Mus musculus: one gene and its partner. The protein of the gene in region 1 interacts with the protein of each later gene in a pairwise test. Links are inferred from orthologs where the notes say so. Each region holds a gene or a part of one and is shown on either strand. Other genes may lie near its edges.

Evidence for each region.
Region 2: the proteins of Eml1 (region 1) and Isg20l2 interact in binary tests that used the Homo sapiens proteins (3 or more experiments, as listed by UniProt). The two-hybrid records come from large-scale screens. The link is inferred for Mus musculus from reciprocal best matches to the Homo sapiens genes EML1 and ISG20L2.

Annotation. Positions count from the first base shown.
Region 1 is NC_000078.6:108,506,315-108,510,128, reverse strand, and holds part of Eml1 (echinoderm microtubule-associated protein-like 1), read right to left. Parts: intron 3,651-3,814; coding exon 3,521-3,650; intron 1,044-3,520; coding exon 894-1,043; intron 1-893. UniProt on the Homo sapiens protein: Modulates the assembly and organization of the microtubule cytoskeleton, and probably plays a role in regulating the orientation of the mitotic spindle and the orientation of the plane of cell division.
Region 2 is NC_000069.6:87,928,860-87,932,773, forward strand, and holds the start of Isg20l2 (interferon-stimulated 20 kDa exonuclease-like 2), read left to right. Parts: upstream 1-1,454; 5' UTR 1,455-1,584; coding exon of another isoform or gene 1,585-1,708; 5' UTR 1,709-1,752; exon of another isoform or gene 1,753-1,860; intron 1,861-2,471; 5' UTR 2,472-2,624; coding exon 2,625-3,416; intron 3,417-3,914. Other genes in the region: protein RRNAD1, read right to left, coding at 997-1,107. UniProt on the Homo sapiens protein: 3'-> 5'-exoribonuclease involved in ribosome biogenesis in the processing of the 12S pre-rRNA. Displays a strong specificity for a 3'-end containing a free hydroxyl group.

The DNA of each region.
Region 1 (3,814 bases):
CTTCTACAATCTTCCAAAAGTTTAAACATAAGAAATCCACACTGCCTAGCTTCTAACAGACTCACCCCAACTACCTTAGCCAGCAAATGCTATTTCATTCATCAGAATGCCCGATTTCCTTTCGGGAACTTCCAACCTTAAGGAAAGGCATCCTTTGTTGGGAAAATAGCATTTCCTTCTCAGAACCACTGACTTAGTCGCCACCCTTTTCTACAAGTCATTTTTGGGTGTGTTAATTAGGAAAGACGTCTCATGTCAGTAGGACCACAAACCCATCTACCCACTGCAAGGTCTTCCCTAAGCTATACTATGATCCATAGGCATGCCAGACTCAGACCTATGTACACAGCAAAGCACGTTTTCATTTTTCGAGGCAGGGTTTCTCTGTATAGCCCTGGCTGTCCTGGAACTCACTCTGTAGACCAGTCTGGCCTCGAACTCAGAAATCTGCTTGCCTCTGCCTCCCGAGTGCTGGGATTAAAGGTGTGTGCCACCACGCCCGGCCTAAACTTTTTTTCTTAAACTTTATAAATTTTTCTTTTTCTTTTTTTAAATTACTGCGCCCCGGCCCGGCCCCGCCCACCACCCAGGCCCCGCCCACCACTGCCATTGCACACAAAGCACGTTTTTCTAAACTTAGAGACCCAATTTGAAGTCTTTAACATTCAGGATGTTAAGAAAGCTTCCTGAAGCTTTTTCCCTCAGATAATCTGGTCACATAGAAGCACAGAGAGCAGAATTAGGGAGCCCAAAGACAACACGGCGAATAGAAAGAAGAGCTTTGCACCTTCAGAGCCCTGCACCACCCCACCCCTGGCTTGTGCCCTGATGCTGAATTCTTTTGGCTAAGGCTAGTTCACCTATGTCCTGCCGACCTGTCTGTGGGGACTCACCACTTGACGTCATCGTTGTGGCCCGCGTAATGCCTCTGCAGCTGCTCCTCCACATTGTAAAGCACCACGACAGACGCAATGAAGTACACGGTCTCCCCGGTCGGGAGCAAGTACAAGTTATTGCGACAGTCTCGCCCCCGGTACCCGTAGCTTAGTGTATGTCAAGATGAAAATCCTTTGCTTTTAAGAGCTGGAGAACTACCGCTTCATTCAACAGGCCCAAAGATGCTGTGAAATGGTGCTATCAGTTTAACCAATTTAGACAACGCTGAACTGAGAACGTGCTGGGTGCAGTGGCGCGTGCTTGTGAGCCTAAACAGATCTCTGTGAGCTCCAGGCCAGCTGGGGCTGCATGGTGAGAGAGGCCATGTCTCAAACAACAGCAAAATTAAATAGATTCTGACACTCAGTGCCCAGTGGACCTCAGTACCTACATACCTAAAGACAAATTTTAAGTGCTCTGTAATAATATGAACACAACATTTTGCAGTGCTGGGAATTGAACCCAGGGCTTTTCCCGTGTTAGGCAAATGCTCTCAGGCTGTGCTTGAGGCAGGTGATCACGGGGTAGCTCAGGCTGGCTTTAGCTCAGATCTTCCTGCCTCAACCTCCCTTGCTCTGGAGTCACAGACATGTCTGGCTACACACCAGGTCTGGTATGAACATTTTTTTTAAAATGAAGACTTTTTTGATTTTTAGAAGCTATTGAGCCAAACAGCTTTTACTGTCTGCAATCTAGGAGCTAAATCTTTTTATTAAACATCACTTTGAAATGATACAAGTACTTATAAAGAATACAAATGTCACTCAAATGTAACAAAGGTTTCAAAATTAATTAACCTGTAACTGTTAATTAAGTTAATGAATTAACTAATGGTGCCCCAGAATTTTGGGGATAATTATCAATGGTTTTAAATTTTATTACACCTTATTTATTGTGTGTGCATGCAAGAGCACAGGGGCACAGGGGCCTGTGTACAAGTGAAGTCAGAGGATTAGTTTGCAGGAGTTGGCCCTCTCCTCCCATCAAGTGGATCCTGGAAACTGAACGCAGGGCTTCAGGCTTGTTAGCAGGTACCTTTAGCCACTGAGCCTTCTCATTGACCTAGTGTTAAAAATTTTCACATGTGTACTTTAAAAGAGCAAAGTGTTACTTAAACTTGAGTGAAAAAAAAAAAAACCCTGCCAAAATGCCATTTATTTGGAGCAAATTTTCTTGTTTCGAGTCTTTTAAAACACAAATAAGGAAGCATTCTTTGAATAACATTTTCCAGATTAGATTTTTAAAACTACTCAATTTAAAGAAGAGGCAGATCCCCTACCACGGCATGAGCCAAAATAGATGGCCAAACAACTTCTAATCTTTTGATTTCCATGAATATGATTCCACCATCTCAAATACTAATTCTTGTCAGCGAAGGCTCGGCAGCACCAACTTAAATCAACATGTCGGGATTGTCTTCAGAGCTCGACTTTATTCCTTGAGTGGCAGACAATCACTATAAACTTGATGTAGAGTCTTGGTAGGTGGGAAAGGCTGCTGCAGCCTTCCTCCATGGTGGAAATGAATACAGCATTGAACAACAGAGACTGACCACTAGCTCTTTAGGGGAGCGTAAGCTCATACCTATAACCCCAGCATTCAGGAGAGTGAGGCAGAAGCATTGCTGTGAGTTAAAGGCTAGGTTCATAGGAAGACCCTGTTTCAAAAAAACAAGTGGTTGGTTTGTTGAAATTATGATCATTAGAGTCCTGACATTTACCCAATTGTACTGGCTGGTTTTGGTTTTTTGAGACAGGGTTTCTCTGTGTAGCCCTGGCTGTCCTGGAACTCACTTTGTAGACCAGGCTAGCCTCGAACTCAGAAATCTGCCTGCCTCTGCCTCCCAAGTGCTGGGATTAAAGGCATGCGACACCACCCCAGCTTGTTTTGGCTGGTTTTGTGTGGCAACTTGACACTGGAGTTAGCACAGAGAAAGGAGCCTCCCTTGAGGAAATGCCTCCGAGATTTCCAGCTGTAAGGCACTTTCTCAATTAGTGATCAAGGAGGGAGGGCCTAACCCATTGTGGGTGGAGCCATCCCTGGGCTGGTAGTCCTGGGTTCTATATGAAAGCAGGCTGAGCAAGCCAGGGGAAGCAAGTCAGTAAGAAATATCCCTCCATCAGCTCCTGCCTCCAAGTTCCTGCCCTGTGTGAGTTCCTGTCCTGACTTCCTTTGGTGATGAACAGCAGTGTGGGAGTGTAAGCTGAATAAACCCTTTCCTCCCCAACTTGCTTCTTAGTCATGATGTTTGTGCAGGAATACAAACCCTGACTAAGACACCAATTTTAATGATTTTCACTAAGCTTGCTGCTTCTCTGTGACAGGCAGGCCAGACACTCATATTCCCCTGGCCCCCAATCCATCCATCTGTACAAAGATTGTTTCCATGGCGTCCTTTCAGGAAGACAGTGGGTACGCATTCGAACGGGAACCACAATCATGGGAACTTGCTCTGAAGCTGCCTCTCCTACATGGCCACATCTGAAATTTTGACTTTTTAAACAGCTAATAGTAAAATATTTAACTTTTATAAGTCTTTTACCAGGAGCCTTCCCTGACAGTCTGGTTGGCCAGTAAAGGATACACCCACTCCAGTTTCAGCCGCTTCGTTGGTAACTCAGCTTTTGCTTCCAAACTGTACGAATCCACTTGGTCTTTGGGCATGTACATGGTGACCGGACGGCCTCGAAGAAACATTTTTACATATCCTTCTTCTACAAAAACAGTGAAGGTGTCAGTGACATGCCTCGGGGCGCTCCGAAAGCAAACACCACAGTCTGGTTAGCTTGTAGGGCACACAGTGGCCGTCTCCCTTGTGCACCTTACATTTTTTTTTAAAGATGCATTTATTTATCTAACGTGTTGATTGGTACAGGAG
Region 2 (3,914 bases), on another chromosome or scaffold:
CAGAGGCAGAGGCAGGTGGATTTCTGAGTTCGAGGCCAGTCTGGTCTACAAAGTGAGTTCCAGGACAGCCAGGGCTATACAGAGAAACCCTGTCTCGAAAAAACAAAAAACAAACAAACAAAAATGCTTTTAACCACATAGCCATCTTGTTAGTCCTAGACAAACATTTACCCTAAAACAGCGGTTCTCAACCTGTAGGTTGGGACCTCTTTGGGGGTTCACACTTCAGCTATCCCGCATATCAGGTATTTACGATTCATAACAGTAGTAAAATTACAGTTACAGAGTAGCAACAAAAGATACTTTTATAGTTGGAGATCACAACATGAGGAACTGTACTAAATGGATGGATGTAGGATCACGAAGGTTGAGAATCACCCCACCCACAAGCCTTGCTGGTGCTCTTCTGTGTGTGTGGGGGGGAGTTGGGGGGAAATGAGACATGTCTCAACACTCGTTAAGCTGGCTGCAAGTCAAGACAATTCTGCCTTAGTCTTCTGAGGGGCGAGATTACAGAAAGGTAACTTTATGTATGTCTGCCCTGTTTTGTTTCCCTCCCCTCCTTTTTTAAAGTAACATCGTCCAGTCCAGGCTGCCCTAGAACTTGTTTTGTAGCCCAGGGGAACCTTTTACTCCCGATTCTCCTGCATCTACTTCTTAGGTGACAGGATTACAAGGGTACACCACATTTGGCCAAGCACTTCCTCTTCCCCAACCCACTCTTTATTGCCTTTAGTGGAGGATATCCTATGGAACATCTCGTTTCTCGTATGTTTCTATGCAACTGTAGCATGGCCAAATGTTGGTTGTGGGGTTTCAAATGAAACAAACAAAACTTAAGTATTAGAGTCAGAAGGCTGGGTGAAAAGTATTCTAGTAGTCAACGCGTTCCTTATTAGGAAGAGATAAAAGCTGTCTCCACATTTTCTCTGCAGTGGGCTCCTATTCACCCCCCGCCCCCCAAGAAGCACCCCGCCCTCAGCCCGGTGGCCTCACGATGATGTAGGCGTCCAGGATGGAACGGTAGTGAGCTAGGACGCGGGTGAGGTCCACAGCCAGTTGCCTTCTCTCCTCATGCGAGAGGCCATGGGCTGAAACGCCCCGCATCCTGTGGCGTGAAATGTCGGTGCAAGGAGGGAGGAGGTGAGGAGACACAAGGTCGGTACCACGAAACCATGCAACCCAAACCGGACTCAATTCTGCACGCCCGACGCAAAGCAAGAACTCCGAACCCGCCCGACGACACCTCTCAGGGCGATCCCGTCCTATTACAAATCCTTAGAACAAGGCGCACTTGCCCAACGTCACGACTTCCACTGGGCCAAGCCATTTGCGCAGCCGCAGGGGACTCGGAGACGTCACAGAAGCGCGCCCAGCACCAGCTTACGGCGAGGGGGTCAGCTGCAGGTCCCACCCTCCCTCCCGGAAGTGGGACCACGGTTCCGGCGCACTCTGTTCCGCTTCCCGCGGCCCACCACCTTCGAGTTGTACCTCCACGGGGCCCGAGGGGCCGGGGAGCGCATCCCGCCCCCGCCCCCACCCACGCCGCCGCCGCCGCCACCGCCGTTCCCGCTGCTCACGCACTCCGAGTCGCTGGCCTCGCTGCCTGAGGTGGGGGCGCTGCGGGCGCGTGCGCGCCGGCCGCCTTCCCGTTGTCGCCCGCGTTCTTGCCGTCCCGGCATACGTCGGCGCGCGCCTGCGCCTGCATCCGGCTTCGGACGCTTGCGATCTTAGTGGGGAACCAACTTGGAGGTAGGTGTATAGGGTGTTCGGGAATAGTTCGTGGATCGTCAAGAATGTGGTGGCCGAGGTGGCTGGCCCTCCACTGTGTCCTTACTGTGGGAGACAGGTAAGGTATGTGAGGAGATCGCCCCCACGTGGAGCCGAGGGAGCGCGACACCTGGATTTGGTCTTCATTTCGTAGCACGCTGAGAATTCCTGGGTGATCCAGAGGGTATTTGTGTTGTTTCTTCTCACCACTGGTACTTAAAAGTCTCATCTGACGCCCTTGTTTTGACTTCATAGACATGATAGAGTCGATCTCCGTGGGTCCCACATCTTTTTATCCGCAGCCTCAGCACCCTCATTTTATGTAATTAGATTTATTATTTGTCTGAGTGTTTTGTTTGTATTTATGTATGTGTATCGTTTAATTGCCCGGGGCCTGCAGAGATCGGAAGGCATCTAGTTTTTTCTGAAGCTGGAGGTACAGATGCTGTGAACTACTACAACGTGGGTGCCTGGAACTGAACTTAATATCTCTGCGAGAGCAACAAGGTTATAACTACTAAGGCGTTTCTCCAGCCCCAGCATCTTTAGTTTTTAAAATGGCACAGAGATCCGGAGAAGGGAAATAACCCTTTTAAGACCAACCTAAAGGTGAATTGTGGAGGCTTCAGTAGTTAGCCGGGCTTTGGGGCTTGTGGAAGTTATCACTTATGTCTTCCAGAACTGATCTTCTTTTCTCTCAGGCCTATGGTGCGGGAATCAGGATTACTTTGTCCCCAAGGCTGATTGCAGACCTCCACATGTTGAACTATGGGATTCCACAGAGGATGAGCCTCTCATCCTTTTGCTATCAGTGAGCCATTCTTCCCAGCTTCCTCCCACCATCCACTGATCTCATGTCTACCATACTCCTGAATTTAGACTTTGGGCAACCTTCGAAAAAGGCATTTGGAGGAAATGCCAAACATCAACGCTTTGTCAAGAAGCGAAGGTTCTTGGAACAGAAAGGATTTCTGAATAAAAAGAACCAACCCCCTAACAAGGTGTCTAAGTTGAACTCAGAACCTCCAAAGAAAGGGGAAACTTCAAGAGTAGATGGCATTTTGAAGATCCTTCCATGCCCAAAGAAGAAAGAGGCAGCTGCCTCCAAGAGGGACTCAGAGCAGTCCAAAGACAAGAAAGCACCATTGTCTTGGCTGACCCCTGCTCCTTCAAAGAAGACTGCTTCTGTTGTGTCTAAAATAGATTTGCTAGGGGAGTTTCAGAGTGCCCTTCCAAAGACTAAGAGCACCCAGAAGAAGGGCTCCAAGAAGAAGTCCTTGAAAAAGAAAATTGCTACAGAGAACTCCACCCAAGCTCAGTCAAAGGATAAAGGCTCCAAGAAGAAGCCCTTGAAGAAAAATGCTGTACCGAACTCCACCCAAGCTCGTTCTGAAGATAAGTGCCCTACAGTCCCCCAAAACTTGCCAGGGAAGATGGTGGCAATAGACTGTGAAATGGTGGGCACAGGACCCAAGGGACGCGTTAGTTCCCTGGCTCGATGCAGCATTGTAAATTACAATGGTGATGTGCTGTACGATGAGTACGTCCTCCCCCCCTGCTACATCGTCAACTACCGGACCAGATGGAGTGGCATCCGGAAGTGCCACATGGTTAACGCTACACCCTTTAAGACTGCTCGGAGTCAGGTGAGGAGCGTGGGTCGAGACAGTAGAGAGAGGTCTGGAGAGGACTTTCAGCAAGTGATATTCTGGGGAGGTGTCAAAGGATGGTAAAGGGAGGGAGAATAATGTCACGTGATTAGGAAGGCTTCCTATTGGAGTAAGGATTAGTTTCTTTTTTACATGGATCCTACCACCTCAGTTGACCCAATCTGAAAGCTCACAGACATGCTCAACTTTGCCTTCTAGTATAATTCTATTAAGTAGACAGTTGTGTCACAAGTCCATCCCTGTCAACTTATGACCAAACATCATACTTTTTAGCCAAACTTTCCATCCTTGGTCCTCATAAGCTCATAGTTATCCTATAATACAAATTTATGGACTGGATTTAGTTCAATTTCAAACGTTTCGAACAGTCTAAACAGAGTCTCTGAAGCTTAGGCAGACTCTTACCTGTGAGCCCCAGCACATCAGAAAACAAAACAAAGGCTGAGTGTGGTGGAGCACACCTTTTTTTTTTTT